2 linked regions of the Nothobranchius furzeri genome follow. The protein of the gene in region 1 purifies or fractionates together with the protein of each later gene. This does not show direct contact. Links are inferred from orthologs where the notes say so. Each region holds a gene or a part of one and is shown on either strand. Other genes may lie near its edges. The genes, in order: gosr1 and bet1l.

What was found.
Region 2: the proteins of gosr1 (region 1) and bet1l purify together in Homo sapiens (affinity purification with western blotting; 3 studies listed by BioGRID and IntAct, with this or other methods). This does not show direct contact. The link is inferred for Nothobranchius furzeri from reciprocal best matches to the Homo sapiens genes GOSR1 and BET1L.

The regions. Positions count from the first base shown.
Region 1 is NC_091753.1:37,561,341-37,569,030, reverse strand, and holds the start of gosr1 (Golgi SNAP receptor complex member 1), read left to right. Parts: upstream 1-2,664; 5' UTR 2,665-2,714; coding exon 2,715-2,748; intron 2,749-3,364; coding exon 3,365-3,476; intron 3,477-5,429; coding exon 5,430-5,517; intron 5,518-6,178; coding exon 6,179-6,286; intron 6,287-6,388; coding exon 6,389-6,480; intron 6,481-7,690. Other genes in the region: cpda (carboxypeptidase D), read left to right, coding at 1-52. UniProt on the Homo sapiens protein: Involved in transport from the ER to the Golgi apparatus as well as in intra-Golgi transport. It belongs to a super-family of proteins called t-SNAREs or soluble NSF (N-ethylmaleimide-sensitive factor) attachment protein receptor.
Region 2 is NC_091754.1:42,722,852-42,728,701, forward strand, and holds the end of bet1l (BET1-like protein), read right to left. Parts: intron 4,742-5,850; coding exon 4,685-4,741; intron 3,321-4,684; coding exon 3,153-3,320; 3' UTR 2,403-3,152; downstream 1-2,402. Other genes in the region: deaf1 (deformed epidermal autoregulatory factor 1 homolog), read right to left, coding at 1,789-2,194. UniProt on the Homo sapiens protein: Vesicle SNARE required for targeting and fusion of retrograde transport vesicles with the Golgi complex. Required for the integrity of the Golgi complex.

The sequences.
Region 1 (7,690 bases):
TCAGGACGAAAGTGAAAGTGAAGAAGAGACTCTGTATGCCAACAAGATCTGAGAAATGCACAGCAGCAGTATTTTTATGTTTTTCAGCTCCCACCACAGTCAAGTCCCTGACCAGCATGGAGCTGAATGGACCCAAGAATGAGCAGCTTTAAAGTGTTTTTTCTATCATGCCATAAAGTTTAAAGGGCTCAGCCCCGTCCTTTCAGTGCTGCTAAAACTAAGAATCCTTTAGGTTAAGGGGTTCATGTATGCAGCACTCTGAGGTCAAAAACAGCCCTGATCAACCTTTACTGCAGCTTTTTGTTTTGTTTCAGAGCCGTTCAAGATGATCAGACCATTATTTGTCCTCGCAGTCCCAATGAACTCAGTAGTTCAATTAGTGGAAAATAGAAGCGCTTTATCTCCTGGAATCTCTCCTCGATAGTTGCCATTACCATGCATTGTTTCCAATACTGCCTGAAGCTGAGAGCTTATAAATGGTTCTCATTTCTTGGTCCAGTATGGAGGAGTTCTCGTGAAAGGTCTGTTTGTGGGCTTGAATTGAACACACTGTGCCTTTTTGCTTCTGTAAAACGCCATGGTTCCAGTCAGGCTGTGAGAAGAGACAAAGCTTTGTGGCTGGGTTAGTTAATGCTGAAATTGGATCTGTCCTTTACTCAGGTTATGTAAAATATGAAATTGTGTCCCAAGGAAAGCTAAATTCTGATGTGACACTGATTCAGCACGGAAAGGAAATTTTGTATGTTTGCAGTAAGTTGAAACCATCCGTTCATCACTGGTGATAAGAAATGTACAACGCTCTGTCATGAAAATACTGTATTTATTATTCCCAGTTTGTTTTAAAGCTTTGTTTATAGTAAGTTTCTGTATGTACATGGACGGTTATTGCTGTTATCCACGAATGTCACATGTGTTGTGCCCTTTTTGTGTGACTGTAGACATATCTTTATTCTGACACTTTGAGGTTTGGGACTTTCTCTTCTGCCAATTATATTCCCTTTCAACTGGTTATTTTAGTTGTAAATGTCATTACTAGTGTGTTAATTGTTTTGTTTCAAGGACTCTGTCAAAGCCACCCTTTCTGCACAACCTCAAGAGGTAATATTTTTCAAACTTGTTAATTTAGACTTTATCATATGAATTTTTTCATTACTTGTGTGTTTATTTAAGAGAAGTTCGGTCCCTTTGAAGCTTATTTATATGCTAAGATTGTATCTGTGCTGTCATCTTAGTGGGAAATGTGACCATTAAAAGAAAAAAAATATATTTTATTTTGGTGATCCTGTACTCAAAATAAGACAGATTTTTATTCTGAAACATCTAAAACCAAATCAGTTGAAAGACCCAACACATCAAACTGGTTTATTCTTCTGACTGCTATTAGATCGCTGCACTGGTTCTCTAAATTGTTATGTGACCTGCATGGATTCAAAGCAATACACTTGTTCTCTTCATAATTCCCCTTTATTTTTCTCAAGAGATCGTTTCTTGGCAAGGAATACAAATGTAAGTTACTCTTCTATCATGTCTGAAAGGCCTTGTGTAAAGACTTAGGAAAGCGTCACGCTGTGTTGATGTGACGATTTTATAAAATAAATTGGAATTAACTAAATATTGTTTGCAAATTGAAATGTCTGTGGGATGTGCACCTTATGTTGACTTCACATACATTTAGAAGCATCTTGGTGGTACTGAGACCAGGCTAACATGCACAAAAACTCCCAAAACATGGAAATAAAAACATCTCTGAGCACCACTTGTTTTTAATCACTTTTGTTTGTGAGTACTGCAAACAAAACCAATTGTCCCAAACCTGTTTATTGTAATGTAGCAAAGAGTTACATTGCATTATATTCAGCATAGAAGAAGGACCAATCCCAATACTCGCACTTCCACCCTTCAGTTGCATGTTGCAGTCCAGGAGTGGCCTGGACTGCCAGACTGCTCCTGGAGGACGAGTCTGGCAGGCAAAGAGGAGAAAGAGAAAAAAGGGTACATCCTTTCCGAGAACAGGAAGAAGATTGTAAGCTGTACATGCAGAAACCAAACATTAAAAAGACAAAAGATAATCTATTTTTAATTTTGACCTTACTAACCACCTGTTTGTTCTTCACTTTTCCATCGTGATTTAAAATGACCTCGTTTTTAAAATGACAGTATTTATGTATTAAGTTTTAACCGGTCCATTGCAAACAGTTTACTTGGAAATTTAATTGTGCTCTTGGAATGTAACTTTTGATGTCAGAAACTGAGAAAAGAGGGTCATTTATCTGTGTTGAGATTTAGAAAAAATGAAAAATTTTACAATTTTACCAATGTTTTTTAATAAAACCACAAAACAAACAAAAACTTTCATGACAACATTTTGTATTTAAGAACAAAACCATTTATTTATTTATTTTTCTAGCATGGCAAGAAAATAATGCTGTTAACAACTGCAACAAACAGATTGAGATATATAAAAGACACACAAGAGTTTTCATCAAAGGGTTGCATTGCACTCTAAAATTATTTTATCTGGACATAATTTAAATTTTTACAGAATAAACAATGAGCTGATTTGATCTAACTAACTTCGTAACTTTGAGCAACGCATGGAATGAAAGAGCCTGCCGTACCTTGCAGTCTCAACCGAGGGCGACAAAAGCCCTATATCGTGCGTCTCCTTACGTCACGTGACCTAAAATTGAGGCTGACGTCGCAGAACAACAAAGATGGCAGGAATAGGAAGCAGCACTTACTGGGAGGGTAAGGAGCGAATATTATTATTCAGTTTCCAGCTGTTATTAAACGCAGTACCCACTTGTGCCGTTCACATAACGTGAGAGGGAACTTGTGGCCGTCTTTGTGTAGTTTTATTGTTTGTACGTGACCCCTAGACCAACAGCCCGCTCCCACCAACAAGCTAACACATCGTCATGTTACTCAGAAGTTGGTGTTGCTCCTTAAGCTGTTAAATCCGCCTCGTTCCTTTGATAGACTTATCAGCCCTTAACATCAAGCCTACCTTCGCTGGATGCCATTGAGCAGATAGGTTTAGGCTGTTCTCCCGGTTTAGCTTTATATTTAGCTTAAAACGTCAGACGTTGCTTCAGTTGTGTTTTATATGAAAGTTTTTACATCAGAAATGAAAACAACAAGGGGCTACAACCATCAACTAAATGTGGAGAACTTCAATAATAATACCAATAATAAACACACACACACACACACACACATTTTTATATGTATATATATAAATAAGTATTTTCCATTTAACTAGATAATATGAAGAGCTACAAATAAATGGCATAAACCTTTCTTCCCATGTCTCGCTATCAAAACTGTAAAACTTGAACCACTAATCATGAAATTTTTGTTGCAGACTTGAGAAAACAGGCAAGGCAGCTGGAGAATGAGCTGGACCTGAAACTGGTCTCCTTCAGTAAACTTTGCACCAGCTACAGCAGCTCCAGGGATGGACGTCGAGGAGAAACGTAAGATTAATCACGATCACACCTGAAAATAAACACCTGCTTCCATTCTTACTACTAGATGTAATGCAATGACAACTTGAATTCAGTTAAGCTGTCTCTAGTTCCTTATAGTTTATAGTAAAGACACACTTTTGTTACTTATTTTCATCAATAGACAAAATGAAGTAGTTTCCAATTAGGAGCCAGATGATATTTCTATAATTTCATTCTTGTAATTTAGGGGTAGAACAAATTGGTTTCTTAAGTTTGGTTAGCAAAGTTTTTTATACATACTTATGAAACACTAAGACAATCACAGATGGAAATGTTTGGCTTAAGGGATAGGGTTGTATTCATCCAACATTTAGAGGTAGTCAGGGCTATTTTTTAAAATGAATATATAGCTCTGACTATAAAGAGTTTATCTACTTTTTAATTTGATTGAATACCAGAAACCGAACATCCAGATGTTTTTGATTTGCTAAAATAATCATCACAGTAGTCAAAAGTTGTAATGCTGGGCTTTTATTAACAAAATAATTTCCAAATTTATCAAAAACTGCTGACCAAGACACATGTCTTCCTTAATGTCTTGTTTTCAGTTGCTTCTTGAAAGAAGAAAGAAAGAAAATGATCTTTTATATCGGGTCTCTCTTGATAAAAATCACGAGTAGTTTCACAAGAACAAAAATTAAGCAAAAAAAAAAAAGTCATAAAAATGAGAAAAATAAATAATTGTCATTTAAAAATGTAAGGAAAGGGAAAGAGAAAATGTATAATTTACCATTTACCATATAAAAAAGAGGAAATCAGTGGATCCCAGGAAAGGTGGAATTGGTAGAAAGAGCAGAACAAGGAGAGGGTGGTGATGAAGATCACACAAAAGCCAGCCTGAACAGGTGAGTTTAAAGGAGACCACTGAGTCCACTGATCTCAGGCTCAGGGGGAGAGAGTTCCAGAGTCTGGGGGCCACAGCAGCAAATGATCTGTCACCTTTGGTCTTTAGCCTGGTGTGCTGCACAACCAGTAGTCTGATCACTGGACCTCAGGGACCTGCTGGGGGTGTAGGGACTAAGAAGATCACCAATGTAAGATGGTGCTTGTCCATGTAAGGCCCTATAGACCAGAGCCAGGATCTTGAAATGTTATGATCGTGCACAGTTAATTTCTGCCCCATCTAAAATACTATTCAGCCACATCCTGGCGATAATATTTGAGGTAGTTTGTGAATAAGAGGAACAGAAATATCTCTCTACTTCTTAAATAAATATTTTTTAAATGGTTTAACTGTGTTATATAGCTGTAGTTGCAACACAGCCTAGATATTTTGTTCCTAGCAAGTTAAAGTGTTTGGAAATGGGAAAAAGTTCTGATCAATACGTGACCAAGACAGGAAACGGGTAATTAAGCTACTTATTTCAAACGACCAAAAGAACAAGTATAAATCAACTATTTTCAAAATGATCTCATAATCTTTTATAATCTTTAAAATAATTATTGTGATGACATAGATGTGATGCAGAAAGTGTTTTGGATAATAGTATGTAAATGTTTGATGCAGCTCTTCTGTAAATTCAGTAAAATCTTTGCTGCATTACATCAACATAGTTTGTTCCCAGTTTTTTCAGTTTAAGATAATTTTAAGAGTATTTTTCAAAAAACAGTGACTGGATTTTTCTTGTCTTTTGAAGAAATTTATTTTCTGTACAAGGAGAGTTCTCAATCCAATTGCAGTATAAATCAAATCAAAGCAAACATAAAATAAACCCTAATTAATTTTATGATTTGCCAAAGCCTGTCAGTCATCTAGGACATGGAATGCTGCTGGATTGAGTCCATGCTGGGAAAAATAATTCCAGTTTTCTGCAGTGTTTTTAAATGTCACTTGTCATCTATGTGTTTTGTTATTCACACTTTTACCTTTAAAGTGAGATGAACATCTTTAAGATGACTTTCTCGTATTTCCATCTAAAGTTCAGACACCACCCCGCTACTAAACAACTCCAGCCAGGACAGGATGTTCGACACCATGTCTGTGGAGATCGAGCAGCTGCTGGCCAAGGTAGGCTGTTCTCTTCATGAAGGGTGAGGAAGATCCAGATATCCTGACATTGATAAGTGAGCTGATTTGCATGGACCACTTTGTCAGAAATATTCCAGTCTGGTGTTGCAGAAGCCAAAAAGTGATCTTGTATGGAAATTTATGTTCTAATGAAATAGACTTTATTGCAAGTAAAGTTACAAAAAGAAGTAATATTGGCCACAGATTGAAGCAATGTTCTATAATGGGCCATTCCCTTCTGTACCGGGTCGGCCTGGGCCGGGTAGCCCCAGTCGGCCCCAGCCTGGCCCGGTTGATTCGTCTTAAGCCCATGTGGGCTGATTCTACCCACCAATCAGAGGCTTGCTCTAATGGAAGGTGTGAATTTGCTGTCAGCAGTGGGTGTGTTGGCCCTGGTCGGCCTGAAGCAGACCCCCTCGAGAAGAGGGCTGAGAATGAGCCTTGGTTGGCCCGGAGAAATACCAGGCCACCCTGATATGTAAACAACCTACGCTACCCGGCCCGGGCCGACCCGGTACACATGGGAATGGCCCATAATTTGGATATTTAGCCTTTTTATAGCTATTTGTGTTCAGATTTAGTGTAAGTTTTTATTGGTTTTATTGGTTCTGATGCCTTAATTCTTCTTGTTCCATCCACTCATCTCCAACATCTCCTTCAGCTGACGGTGGTAAACGACAAGATGGCCGAGTACACAAACACCCCGGGAACAGCTTCTCTCAACGCTGCGCTGATGCACACCCTCCAGAGACACCGAGACATTCTGCAGGTTTCACCGTCATTCATCACAATCCTTTCTGCTTCTTGTTCGTCTTTTTGGTAGTTTTGATTACTTGGTGTTTCCTTGTTGTTTATTCCTGTTTCCGTTCAGGATTACACGCACGAGTTTCACAAAACCAAAGGCAACTTTCTGGCCATCCGAGAAAGGGAAGATCTTCTAGGTTCTGTCAGGAAAGACATCGAGTGAGTATCCACTCAACATTCGTTATTGTCCTGTGAAGCCTTTCTTTTGTTGTTAACGAGTGCTAAATTTAAGAACTGTTAAATCATTTTGAAGGAGTTGAGACGTTTCAGACCCAAGTCTTTAGAAGAACGTTCAAGTTTTGTCTCACTTGAGAAATGTTTTGTTTGAAGCGGTTTGAAGATTTCTGACCTCCTTGTCTCTTCATTGAGAAAGTGTCTTCAGATCAGCTCAGCTGTGAGTGAATGTAAAATGGGATCACGACTCCTGAGGGTTTTTCTTTTCATGTAATGACGTATTGATTTGTTAAGATGCAGCAGTGGGCGTACAGTGAGCGCTGCAGGATTCCCATTGATCCTCTCCATCCATCTGGGGCAGAGGCCTCGTACTGGCACACTTCTGCCATACTCTATTAGCCACTTATTGATATACTCAAAGTGTTTGTCATGATTTAGTTTATTTAAATGTTGTGTTCCTGAGAAGGGCTCAGACCTCATGACAAAGATGTGCTATGTTTTCATTAGTTTTGCAGGTGAAACGTTAAAAGTGTAGTCGTCTGACCTAAGTTTGGAGACCAGTTTACTCTTTCAGATTTTTAGAAAACACTCAAACTTTCATGTAATTTTATGCAACATTTTAAGAAAACAGAGCTTTGATTGAAAGCTTTCCCATCATAAAGCAGTTTCAGGTGGGAAATGGCTTCCAGTTAAATCAAAGTAGCAACTGGTTTTATATTTTTTACACCTGGAAGTTTTAGAAAAGCCATGAGCTGCTTTTCAGCTTCTAAATATACATAAAGAACCAACTTTGTTCTCGCCTGATAGCTTACTTTGTTTTTATTGATCTTTAAAGTTGTCACACACTCGTTATCTCCATAAATCTACTGTGGCTTCTAGTATAAATGAGGATCTTGTGAGTTATTTTCAGTACAAAAAGCTCTTTTGCTCCTATTGCAGGAAGTATAAGTTGGTCAGACGAGTAGGGGGCAGAAAATGGAACAATTTAGCATCTTACTCATTGATATTCATGATATGCAAACATATTTTCTCTGATTGGCTAGCAGCAATGCAACTCTTCCACTGCCTCCGTTCACTTTTCTTTCTTGGGTAAAAATGCAAAGTTGATGTTTTACCTCCACAAGTAGCAGAAGCCTTAAGCAGTTCCGATGTGTGGTAACGGTTAGCTTTTACTAGCTGAGACGCGCTCTGCTCT
Region 2 (5,850 bases), on another chromosome or scaffold:
CTCAAGTGGTTATTCCTCTGTATAAAATTATGTTTAAATAAATAAATAAATACATACATTTTAAGGTTCTTCTAACGGTTTTTAAGTGTCTTAATGGTCCTGGACCTTCTTATCTTTGAGAACTGCTTTTCCCATATGAACCCTCACAGCCTATGCGCTCCTCTGGCAGGCGTCTCCTGGTCCTCCTTAAAGTCAGGACACACACTTACGGCGAGTCGTCCTTCCAGCATTATGGCCCTCGCCTCTGCAACGAGCTGCCAGAGGACCTCAGGGTCGCAGAGAACGTTCACGTTTTTAAGTTCAGGCTCAAGACCCACCTATATAGGTTAGCTTTTATCTAAATATTTACTATAGTTTAGTTTCTCGTTTTACATGACTATATTTTATTACTGGCTTTGCATGTTTTACATGATTATATTTTAGCACCGTTTCATTATTTAACAATGTTATAATTTTACTGTCCATATGATTTAATTATTTATTTTATTAATTTTGTCATTTATATTAACTCTTTTATTTTCATATTTTTACTCATTTTAATCCAGTGTTTTCTCTGCAGGGGCCCTCTGCCCCAGGGGTCGTGGTCGACTGTTGCTTCCTGGGCGTTCTACAGGTAGTGTTTGGGTGGAGGTGGGGGTCTATGCTGCCCCTCCTCTGAGTGTTCTGACTTAGTTGCTGTGGAAGACCTGATGTTGCCGGGGCAGACGGCTCCGCTGATGGCGTTTCCTTGCCTTACCTTACTTGGCTCATCTGGACTCAGCCGAATATACATTTTTACTGATGTTATTGTGTGTGTGTGTGTGTGTGTGTGTGTGTGTGTGTGTGTGTGTGTGTGTGTGTGTGTGTGTGTGTGTGTGTGTGTGTTATTGTTTTTAAATTGTTATGGGAATTTGGGGTCATTTTGATACTGTAAAGCACTTTGAGTAGCACTTGGCTTGAAAAGCGCTTTATAAATAAAATCTGATGTGATGATTTGAAGTCAACAGATGTAAGTCAATTCAAGTCGCAAGTCACTGGCGTTTAAGTCCGAATCAAGTCGTAAGTCTTTATAAATTTTATCAAATCAAGTCAGAAGTCATTAAAATAATGACTCGAGTCTGACTTGAGTTCAAGTCATGTGACTCGAGTCCACACCTCTGCCATTTAATCACGTTCACTGGTAATATTATAGTGATTTGGCTCAAACATCCATGAAGTCTGAGGCTTCCAGAACCAAAAACGATCAGAGACACAAACATATAAATAACAATAATATAAACTGAGGTTTGTCAATAAAACTTGCAATGGAAATGTGCAGATTTCTTTCTCTACTGTAAACAGACTAATAAAAGGTGACGGGTCGTTGTCAAAAGTCTTTAGTTTCATTTGTCTTTAAAAATCCCAACTAACCAAAGTCCTTCACCAAGCCATATTGTGTTGTTCTGGGTGAAATCTTTTGTTGCGTTTGAATTTTGATTGACCCTTCTGGGCCACCTTAAAAGTCAACATTGCATCTTCTGACTGTAAACACTTGCACCCTGCAACCGGGTCATCTCCCCCTCATGTTTGCTGCTGCCGAATTTGAGAGCATCGGTTAAACTGGTAAACTAAGGTCTAGCTATAGTAAAGACATTTCCTGTCATGGTGACAGTTAAAAACACACAAAACCTGAATGGACTTCGGCACAGCAGTCTAGCTATTTATTTTCATTAATGTAGTTTTATATGTGGACTCCGAATGCATGGCTTTTAACAGAGCCAAATATACGTTAGATACTAAATAATCTGGCGGCCTGCAGCTGCTGGTTACCTGCAAAAGCAGCCTCGGCCTCGTCGGAGTTCGGCAGGGACTCGGCTCCCATGTCGATGTTTCCCGGTTCCGCCATCACAGCCATCGGGGTGACTTCGGCCTCCGACTCCGTATCCGAGCTCGCTCCCTCCACAGACGACCCGCCGATGGGCGGTTCATCCAGCCCGAGCGCTTTCGTGGCCGAGTCTGCCTCGTCCATTATTCCGGAGAACGAGAGGAGCCGAATGTGGCCGAGGCGAGCGGCCGCGGAACACAGCGGAGCACGAGCTTCTCCGACAGCGCTGCACACGTCACGTTTACTGGTACGGTTTAAATAATCAGCTCGTCGCGTATTCAACCCAAATCTAACGGAACCACACCAGCTAATCCAGAGGAATAAGGACAACAGCTCTTTCTTTGTTCGCATTTGATGTCTGTGGCGAGTTCCGGAAAATACCGAGAGGATACGAGTTTACCCGAAGCGACTCGCCGGTCAAGATTCCCGCTTCCGCGCAGATTAACTGGCCATCCCTCTTGTCTCGTTGTTCATTTCAATCGTACTAACAAAAAGAATGGATTTAAAAAAACTTTTTGAAAATATTTCAGAGGTTTTAGATGGCAAGGAAACAACTATAACATCTTAAAATGTTTTATTCAGTTACTAAAATAAAATCATTATTTGAGTCACAGTCGTGAAAATAAATATATTCCTTCTTTACTCAAAATGCAACCAAATGGATCCGTTGTTTATATAAATCCCATAATAGGTACAATACCACCAAGTCTGCAACCAACCCTAATAACAGTCTTTAAATCAATGTCATTCATCTGTGATGAGAAAACTTGCTGGAATACACAATCGTTTGATGACTTGAAATGAAATTTGAATGAATAAAGGGCCAAATCATCTCTATAAACCCCAAACAGGATCTTAACATTAATGTTAATGCCAGAGACGTATTGACATAAGCATTGCAATAATCCATAACTTATAGTTTCAATGCAAATACATGAAACATGAAAGAGAACCCTTAACCTCCAAAGACTTGAATAAATCTAAGATTCATCAGAGATGCTCTGATTTGAACTGGTGTGTGATCAGGAGCTGAGACTCAGCTGTGTTGTACCAAAACCAGATGTTTCTCCTTCCTTCTCTCGGGATGCAGGGCAGGTCAAAGCTGGTTCTCCACAGAGGGAAGCTGTTTTCATAACAGGATCCACCACCGTTCCTCCCATCGAGCGAGCCCACACCACCTGCTCTACATTAGTACTTCCTGTTGACATCTAACGTTTCTCTCTTTGGTCCTGATGAATGAAAAAAAAAAGTCTTCTTTGCTCGAGATACAGAGCTCACTGGAGTCTGGTGTGGTGGTAACAGTCTGGTCTCAGCGCTGAATCCGGGACACCAGGTAATAAAGAAGAAAGAACACCAGAACCAGACCCATGGAAACGTAACAGAGGAGGCGGCGGTTGTCTCTGCCAGATCGGACCATGGTGGAAAAACGCTTCACGCTGCCGCTTAACAAGCCCGTCGCACTCAGGAAGTTTGAGTCCTAAAGAGGAAGAAGAGAACAGTATTTACAGCGAAGCCAGGCCTGTTTAACTCGACTCACTGACAGTGTAGAATTCCCGGTAAACATTTGGGATCATCTATCCCATAAAACTCTCTCACTCATCATCTAAACCACTTATTCCTTGTTAGGGTCGTGAGGAGCTGGAGTCTATGTGCAGTAGCCACTGGCTGAGAGGCAGGGACACCCAGGTCAGGCCTCCAGTCCATCACAGGGACACGAGACAAACGACCACCGACTCACTCACTCACTCACTCACTCACTCACTCACTCACTCACTCAGAGACAATTTGGTCTCCACTCAACCTTCTGAAGACCAGCTCAGTGGCCTAATGGTATGAGTGTGTGCCCTGAGACTGGGAGACTGCTGTTCAAATCCACCATTATGAATGGGTTAGTGTTATTGCCGTCATCATCTTCTTCTGCTTATACGGGTCCGGAACGCGGGGGCAGCATCCCAACTAGGGAGCTCCAGACCGTCCTCTCCCCGGCCTTCTCCACCAGCTCCTCCGGCAGTACCCCAAGGCGTTCCCGGACCAGATTGGAGATGTAACCTCTCCAACGTGTCCTGGGTCGACCCAGGGGGCCTCCTGCCATCAGGACATGCCCGAAACACCTCCCCAGGGAGGTGTCCAGGAGGCATCCTGACCAAATGCCCAAACCACCTCAACTGACTCCTTTCGATCCGGAGGAGCAGCGGTTCTACTCCGAGTCCCTCCCGAATGTCCGAGCTCCTCACCCTATCTCTAAGGCTGAGCCCAGTCACCCTATGGAGGAATCTCATTTCGGCCGCTTGTACCCGCGATCTCGTTCTTTCGGTCATTACCCAAAGCTCATGACCATAGGGGAGGATTGGGACGTAGATCGACCGGTAAATCCGGTAGTGTTATTGTTCCTTATATAAACAGTGGATTCATTCGGGTGTATTTTGATTGAAGCCGGCTCTGTGGAGGCTCGGAGAAGCTCGTCCTCCACTGTGTTTGGCGGCCTCTCAGCCACACTCGGCTCCTCTCGTTCTCCAGAATAATGGACGAGGCAGACTTGAGAAATGTTAACCAACGTTTGACACTCAGCATTAAAGGTTTTGTTCGATTGGGGGCTTAAACAACCCAATAGTTCCAGAGCACAGCCGCGTCTGCAGCTCAACACTCCACCTGGGTGACGACTAATGGGACTTTAACGTTTAAGTTCTGCTTGAAAGACTGTAGGCCTTTGAGACAGTGCTTGTTTTTATTCCTCATCTTGAAAATCTACTTTGACTAGTTTTACTAAAAATGTTGACTTTAATCTGGAAATAAAGTCCAAAATTTCCATCAAAGACGATGTCAGCCACAGATTGGACCCACCATGCCGTCTAGGTACTCGTTCTGGTCGTCAGCCTCTCTGTCGATGTCATATGCTAGCTGCCAAAAAGGAGACAGAAGATCAGAGGTTACAACAACTTTCAACTCAATCCTGTTTCCACTCTAGCTGGGGCATTCTGGTGAACAAACATAAATACAAAAACAATGCTTTCATTATGTCTTTGTGAAAATGCAAACCCCAATGCTGTTTGGTAAATGTTATTCATTTTTAGGGGAAGGCAGCTTTATTTATACAGCACATTTCAAACACAGGGACAATTCAATGTGCTTTACACTTAGCATGAAATGGCACGACAATAAACACGAGAACACAGATACAATTATATTCTAGAGCTAAAAGGAAAAGACAGAGCTATGGTTGAGCAATTACATCAGAGATTACAGTGGAGACGACCCAGCATAAGAAACAAATCATGTAAAGGCTGATGAGTACATTCGGGTTTTTAGCGTTAAACAACACTAGAGTTGGGGCAGATCTGAGGTCATGGGGAAGCTGGATCCATATGTGAGCAGCATAGTAACTAAATGCATCTCCACCATGTTTGCTTCTGACCCGAGGTTCTACCAGCTGATTGTTTCCAAGGGATCTCAGAGCCCTATTGGGTGTATATACAGGAATGAGATCTGACATGTATTTTGGCCCCATGCCATTGAGTGATTTATAAACTAGTAGGAGCACTTTGTAGTCTATTCTGTGGTTTACTGGCAACCAGTGTAGGGATCTAAGAACAGGAGTTCTTGTTAAGACTCTGACAGCAGCATTCTGAACTAGGGTTGTCACGGTAACCGGTGTAGCGGTAAACCCCGGTAAAAAAGTTGACAATAATAATAACCGTCTTGTTTTTAAAAAACTATATTATCTCGGTGGGTTACCTGGCTGCGGTGTAGGCTCGGTGACCCTTACCAGCCACCGTATCATCTGCTGAAGTTGCCGGCGGCACATGCGCGCTTTGTTGTTTACAACCAAAACTTTCTTGAAGCTAAAGCTGAAATAACGGCCAAAGGAGGAGACGGCAGCACTCAGGACATTTATTATCCCTCAAAGAAGACAAAGTGGGAAGTACGGGCATTTTTTGGATGTTTGAAGAATGCCGAGGGACAGTTGATAGAAGACGGCTATCCTGTTTGCAGCACGTGCAGAAAAAGTG